Linked DNA regions of Nothobranchius furzeri. The protein of the gene in region 2 purifies or fractionates together with the protein of the main gene of each other region. This does not show direct contact. Links are inferred from orthologs where the notes say so. Each region holds a gene or a part of one and is shown on either strand. Other genes may lie near its edges. The genes, in order: nphp4 and nphp1.

Region 1 (3,825 bases), on a different chromosome or scaffold from region 2:
GAGGCATGTTGGAGGCAGGGCAAGGGAGAGCCATCTTTACATACTGTACACTCCACCTCCCTTTACTCCCCCACTTGTCCAGATTTAGGCTAACATCAGACCATAGGCCCTATCAAATAAAAATGTTTTATGCCTAGTCTTAAAAGTAGACAAGGTGTCTGCCTCACGGACTAAAGCTGGGAGCTGGTTCCACAAAAGAGGAGCCTGATAACTAAAAGATCTGCTTCCTATCCTATTTTTAGAAATTCTGAGAACTCCAGTAAACCTGCAATCTGAGAGTGAAGTGCTCGGTTAGGAACATATGGAACAATCAGATCACTGATGTATGATGGAGGAAGAGCTTTATATGTGAGAAGCAGGATCTTAAAATCTATTCTGAATTTAACAGGCAGCCAATGTAGGGAAGCTAAGACAGGAGAGATATGACCTCTCTTTTTAATTCTCATCAAAACTCTAGCTGCAGCATTTTGGACAAGCTGAAGACTTTTAACTACATTCTGTGGACTTCCTGAGAGTAATAAATTACAGTAATCCAGTCTTGATGTAATAAATGCATGAACTAGTTTTTCAGCATTTCTCCTGGAAAGGATGCTTCTAATCTTAGCAATATTCCAAAGGTGGAAAAAGGAAATCCTACAAACCTGTTTAACGTGGGATTTGAATGACATGCCCTGGTTGAAGATAACACCAAGGTTCCTTACTTTGTTCTCGGAGACTAATTTAATGCCATTCAGGTCAGGTGATTGACTAAGCAATTTCCTTTTCTGAATTTCAGGTCCAAAGATGAGAACTTCCATCTTGTCTTGATTTAAAAGCAAAAAGTTTTGAGTCATCCAATTTTTTATGTCTTAAAGACAAGCCTGTAATCCATTACATACATTTTTATATCTGGTGTTAGCACTATTGGGTGTTTTTCGGTAGGGAACACATACTACAATTATTACGGTAATATGCCTCTGGTATTAGAGGAAGTGTGGTTATTTGCTGACTTGCTTTTAGCTAGAAACTAGTTCTGAATGACTTGTTAAAGGAAGTAAAAAGCCACGATTGACTCATGATTCACTTCACTGTAACATCAAGCTGTTGGTAATTGAAAAGGTAGCTTGAGATGTTTTTAGAGCCGAGTACTGGCTTCTAATTCTTAGGGGTACAAGAAATAACTTCTGGGTCGCTCTGACATACTGGCTTCAGTTCTTTAACTCTGGAGCTTGTTACCTGCTGGTGTTGAATCACAAAAACTGGCTATGCAAAGTTAACTCTGCAACCTCACAGGCTCACTAACGGTAAACAGTAACTACGTCCCTCTTTAGTTTTTTTTTTTTTTGAATAAATAAATAAATAAATAAATCTGTTTCCATGTAACCTTCCTTCCAACATGATTAAAACATTACAGTGTTTTGAGATTATTTCACTGTAGAATTCTCAGAAATTGCTCCTTTAAATGTAATTTAAAATGTGAGAGCAGAAAGTCGAGTGTATAAGAAAATTCTACTCAGATTATCCACACAGCTAGAGCCAGTGAAACCGCTGAGCATGAGACTGTTTCAAATAAAGTTGTGGTTATCAATCAGTAAAAATAAAAGCCAAATTGATTTTTAGAGCTAGTGTAACGGCCTTGTTTCTGCGTGAGCAGCTTTATCCCACACAGAATTGGCCATCACAGAGCTGTGAAATTACTAAAACACGGGTCTTCCCAGAAGAAACGTTTGGTGTAAAATGTTAAAGGCACACCTGCACTGCTGCCAAAATGACATTTAACACGTGACCCAAAGGTGAGAGGAAAGTTCTTCTAGGAAGAGGAATTATTCATTTCTCTTTGTGCGGCGCAAACACCTGCAGGGTTTTGGGAGTTGTAATAACGGTGGGTTTTGTAGAAAATGTTTGAGAGTTAAACTCAATTTATGATCTCAGATTTCTGCTGCTGTAAAACAGTAAGTATTTATCCATTTTAGACAGCAAAACAGCTAAAAATTGTCAAAATATAAGTTTGACACAAGCATATTTGTGTTTTTAGATCATAGTTTGACCTCACCAAAGATTCAGCTGCTTCAGAATTTTCCTTGGCCTCTCGTCGACGCACGGCAGCCATGCACTCCAGCTTCCGGCGCTGCGAGTTTAGGTTTAGCTCTTCAGGGATGACAGCATCCGCTCTGATCCTGTCTCTGTACAACCGCATGTGATCTTCATCCATCTTCAGCCTGTGTACTTGTGCGGTGTTGCCGGCTGTGAAATAGACCGAGGCCACCATGAAGAATTTATTCCCTAAGCAGAAAAAAAACTCTAGTCTTAAATATTAAGTAATGTTACATAATGTACATGTAATGCACTCCGTTTGTATCTGAGTGCAGCTCAAAACTTCACTACTTTAGTTTGCAGCCATGTTTTAAAACCCACGTTGCAGCAATGGAGGGAATTAACCAGAACTTGCTGAAAGGAGCCATGAATCCAAAAATTAAATGAGGCAGGCGGAAAAAAATCAAGAAGTAGATCCATATATGGGGACAGAAAATAAAATAAAATAAAATACTAGCACACACATTTATTAACCTTTCATACTATACATATTATTACTTAGATTAGCCATTTTTATATTTAGCTTGTTTTTACGTTACTGTATTTTTGCACAACTCTGTTGCAGTGAAGCTCGCACACAAGAATTTCACTCGCATGTACTGTACCAGTATACCTGCACATGTGACGTGACAATAAAAGTGATTTGATTTGATTTGAGAGAGATGAGATGTAAGTGGTGTTTTATTTTAGCTCTTTAGGAACTTTACCTGCTGTGTTTGCTTTACACCAGACATCAGACCTCTGCTGATCCCTCATCAGTTTTCTACACTTCTCTGCAAACCCTTCTTGTGCTATAACCCACTTCTACGCTGTTCTACACAAAAGTTACATCTCTAAAGGTGTGTTTGCTTTCTCTTGAGGTTTTCATTTGCAGCTGATTTATTGATGCCAATCTAAGTGTGCATTTTGTTTGTTTTTGTGTCCTAAATCAATGTGACCTCACATTTCCTGTTAATGGTTTTGAGCCTTCTTCAGCTGTCAATTCTTTTTATTTTAAATCACATATGAATATAAAAACAATGTTGGAAATGTTAAAACAGATCAAGTCCCTTTGACCACCACCAGCAGGCAAGGCGGGTGGGACAATCTCTGACAGAAGAATGGGGTCAATCCTAGGACGCTACAAAAAGATGGACAAAATGACGCCACCATCTCGCTTTGTTCTAAGTACATGAGAACTATTGAAGCCTGAGACGCATACTTGATAACCTTGTCATAAGTCACAAACAACATAACACATGAAAATCAGTTTCATCAAACGCACCCATGAAAAGGCACACCTCCAATGAGGAATTTCTAATGAAATGGTCTGGAAAAGTATTCATCGTCTTTCTTTGTACGTATGTTTCTAAACGCTAAGGGGGACATAGATGATGAAAAATGGCTACTAAATGGTAATTAGGTGTCAGCTGAAGGTTCAGTAGAGAGCATCAGATGGCAAAACCATCTCTGTAATTATTAGTGACTTAAAATAATCTGACTCGATTATGACGAATGCACCACTGTGGTCACTAACCCGCCTGAGTACACGTCTCAGACTTGAGCTTATACATAAACTCTGTTGCGCTCTACCATATCTGCTTGTCTTTCTGTTTTCCACTCCTTTGATGACTCTTTGTCCCAAGACACCCCCCCACCCCCACCCCGCAAGACTCCTTATCAAGGAGGAACTGGGTTGACTGCCAGTGAGCTAACCTGATAGTGTCTGGCTACACCACATCCTTCACAGCCACAGGCAGGCAGAAGTGGGAC
Region 2 (3,825 bases):
TTACAATGACGATCTAGCCAAGAGGCAGCAGCAACAGACACACAGACCTCATTTTTATAGTTATATGTTACGAAGTCGCCATTATTTTTTAACAACTGGGCATTGTTTCATTCCTTTTCAACAAAATTTTGATGGATATTTCCAGAGATTAATGGTTAAAAACTATATATTGTCTCTTTAAATCAGGTCTAAAATACATGGGAGCGGGTTTAAGTATCTGGGCAACGCCGTATTAGATGCCATGTTTCCTTCTACGGGAGCCCATGAGGACAAAATACATTTACTTATTTGTAACAGATGGTTGCAAAACTTTCATCATTGTTAAATGTTGTTGTTTTACACATTTACCTCCACTTGTTGCCAGTGATGAAAGGGAGTCTGATGTGCTTGTTATTTTGCTAAGGTTTGCACTCCCCAGGGCTTTTTGACTCTAATGATCATCCATTGGTAAGGTCTTACTCCAACACAAAAATACTGCTTGCTTGCAACGATTTAGGTATCTACTGCCCCCTGTAGCCAGGAAAAATACACACAGTCACTTTAATATACAGGTGCTGGCCAGTAAATTAGAATATCATCAAAAGGTTGAAAATATTTCAGTAATTCCATTCAAAACGTGAAACTTGTACATTATATTCATGCAATGCACACAGACCAATGTATTTCCAATGTTCATTACATTTAAATTTGATATTCATAAGTGACAACTAATGAAAACTCCAAATTTGGTATCTCAAAAAATTAGAATATTCTGAAAAGGCTGAATATAGAAGACACCTGCTGGCACTCTAATCAGCTGATTTACTCAAAACACCTGCAAAGGCCTTTAAAAGGTCCCTCAGTCTTGTTTTGAAGGCACCACAATCATGGGGAAGACTTCTGACTTAACAGCTGTCCAAAAGACAATCATTGACACCTTGCACAAGGAGGGCAAGACACAAAAGGTGATTGCTAAAGAAGCTGGCTGTTCGCAGAGCTCTGTGTCCAAGCACATTAACAGACAGGCGAAGGGACGGAAAAAATGTGGTAGAAAAAAGTGTACAAGCTCTAGGGATAACCGCACCCTGCAGAGAATTGTGACGACAAACCCATTCAAAAATGTGGGGGAGATCCACAAAGAGTGGACTGCAGCTGGAGTCAGCGCTTCAAGAACCACCACGAGGAGACTCATGAAAGACATGGGATTCAGGTGTCGCATTCCGTGTGTCAAGCCACTCTTGAACAAGAAACAGCGCAAGAAGCGTCTCGCCTGGGCCAAGGACAAAAAGGACTGGACTGATGCTGAGTGGTCCAAAGTTATGTTTTCTGATGAAAGCAAGTTCTGCATTTCCTTTGGAAATCAAGGACCCAGAGTCTGGAGGAAGAGCGGAGAAGCACAGAATCCACGTTGCATGAGGTCCAGTGTAAAGTTTCCACCGTCAGTGATGGTGTGGGGTGCCATGTCATCTGCCGGTGTTGGCCCACTCTGTTTCCTGAGGTCCAGGGTCAATGCAGCCGTCTACCAGGAAGTTTTAGAGCACTTCATGCTTCCTGCTGCTGACCAACTTTATGGGGATGCAGACTTCACCTTTCAACAGGACTTGGCACCTGCACACAGTGCCAAAACCACCAGCACCTGGTTCAAGGACCATGGTATCCCTGTCCTTGATTGGCCAGCAAACTCGCCTGACCTTAACCCCATAGAAAATCTATGGGGTATTGTGAAGCGGAGGATGCAATACGCTAGACCCAACAATGCAGAGGAGCTGAAGACGACTATCAGAGCAACCTGGGCTCTCATAACACCTGAGCAGTGCCACAGACTGATCGAGTCCATGCCACGCCGCATTACTGCAGTTATTGAGGCAAAAGGAGCCCCGACTAAGTATTGAGTGCTATACATGCACATTCTTTTCATGTTCATTCTTTTCAGTTGGCCAACATTAGAGAAACAAACATTTTTTCATTGGCCTTTAGAATATTCTAATTTTCTGAGATACCAGATTTGATGTTTTCATTGGTTGTCACCTATAAATATCAAAATTAAACGTAATAAACATCGGAAATACATTGGTCTGTGTGCATTGCATGAATATAATGTACAAGTTTCACGTTTTGAATGGAATTACTGAAATATTTTCAACCTTTTGATGATATTCTAATTTACTGGCCAGCACCTGTAGTTATTTCAAACAACTTAAGTATTAAATTTTTTTTTAATTAATTCACTTAAGTATTTAAAAAAATACTTAATTGAATTAATCATTTTTAGAAGAGACTAACGGCCGTCCATGTTAGTTGAACTAAATCTGTTTACTTTCAGCATTTTGTAAAACTTGCATGGTTCGAGGGGAACAGGAATGTTTAGTAAACTCAACTAAACCGGGTTTACAGTGTACTAAGGTTCTTACAACCTAATATTTAAAGCATGAAACATCCAGATACATGAAATGTGAGGGTTCATTCTAGAGGATGATGCTTAATTGAGTATCGTGTATTTTTCATTCATTTTTAAGCTGACAAGTTTCGGCTAACGCTGTAGCCTTCCTCAGAGCTCCACCGATGTCCGTGGCGTCACTTCCTTCTCCATTTCTTAAACGGATTAACGAAGAAGGAAGTGACCCCACCAACATCTGCGGTGCTCTGAGGAAGGCCGCAGCATTAGCCGAAACTTGTCAGCCTAAAAGTTAAAAACAGATCTTTACTGCGCTGTTTAGATAAGAACCAAGCAATGGAATTTAACGGATCAAACAAAACGAATGTAAAACAGATATTATACTTTTGTATTGGTCTGTTTTTGGCTAAAGGATTTTCAAAACCACCAAATGAGAGTAAATAAATATTTAACCAATGAAAATATTTTGTCCACCTGCAAGTTGTTTTGAGACTTGTTACGGAGTTACGCCATTTTCAGCATCAACTAGTAGGTTCAAAACTCCACACTCCTGCAGCAAACTGACCTTCCTCCAGCAGTTTACTAAGAGTTGATGGCCTGAATCCCGATGGTATGGCTCCCATAGCTGACAGCACATCTGTGGTATCAATCTGTTTCACACAGAGAAGACCATCGGGGGAAACCCTTTAGATTATGTAAGATTTTACTTCATCATTTAAAGAGACAGGTGTTCAGTTTTACCTGAGTCAGAGCCTTTCTGACTGTCGACCAGTTGGAAGCTCTGTTGCCAAAGAAAAATAAGAAAAATAAATACATTCCAATCAAATGCAATGTAAAATTTTTTTATTTAAACACATTAAAAAAATTATAAATAAATCATATATAAAATAAATAAATAAGTTTAAACTATCGCTTTTTGTTTTTGTAAGTAAAACAATCCAGATGCTGAATATTTCACTTGAAACGAAAAAAAAACCTCATTCTGTCTCGACCATCAGCCACTTCTTCCCTAACTTCCTCTTCCTTCTCCTCTAACTCATCTTCATCATCCTCTTCATCACTGTCCTCTTCGTCATCATCCTCATCACCAACACGAGAGCCAGGCTAATACACAGGGTGAAATCAAATTGTTTAGAATTCTGTTTGTTTAAAAAAGAAGAGACACTGACCTCTCCCTGTATTTACAGCCACATGAGATTTTAGATGAATATCATTGGTAATGTTTTATAATAAGATCTTTAGCTTAATATCTGTACGAATGGATTGTGATGCTGAAACATTTGATACTGTACCTGTAAGAAGGTTTTTGGGACCACTCCTTTGTTGCCTTTTTTGTCCTGAGCCAGCCACCATCCGTCTGCTGTCTTCTTAATTATTGTCAACACCTCCCCCTTCTGAAAGAAGAAAATATAACGAACCAGGACTCAATAGAGATAAAAGAGTAGGAAACA

Evidence for each region.
Region 1: the proteins of nphp1 (region 2) and nphp4 purify together in Homo sapiens (co-immunoprecipitation; 6 studies listed by BioGRID and IntAct, with this or other methods). This does not show direct contact. The link is inferred for Nothobranchius furzeri from reciprocal best matches to the Homo sapiens genes NPHP1 and NPHP4.

Annotation. Positions count from the first base shown.
Region 1 is NC_091755.1:34,971,200-34,975,024, reverse strand, and holds part of nphp4 (nephrocystin-4), read right to left. Parts: intron 2,263-3,825; coding exon 2,033-2,262; intron 1-2,032. UniProt on the Homo sapiens protein: Involved in the organization of apical junctions; the function is proposed to implicate a NPHP1-4-8 module. Does not seem to be strictly required for ciliogenesis. Required for building functional cilia.
Region 2 is NC_091752.1:27,154,210-27,158,034, reverse strand, and holds part of nphp1 (nephrocystin-1), read right to left. Parts: intron 3,769-3,825; coding exon 3,667-3,768; intron 3,479-3,666; coding exon 3,351-3,478; intron 3,156-3,350; coding exon 3,116-3,155; intron 3,025-3,115; coding exon 2,940-3,024; intron 1-2,939. UniProt on the Homo sapiens protein: Together with BCAR1 it may play a role in the control of epithelial cell polarity. Involved in the organization of apical junctions in kidney cells together with NPHP4 and RPGRIP1L/NPHP8. Does not seem to be strictly required for ciliogenesis.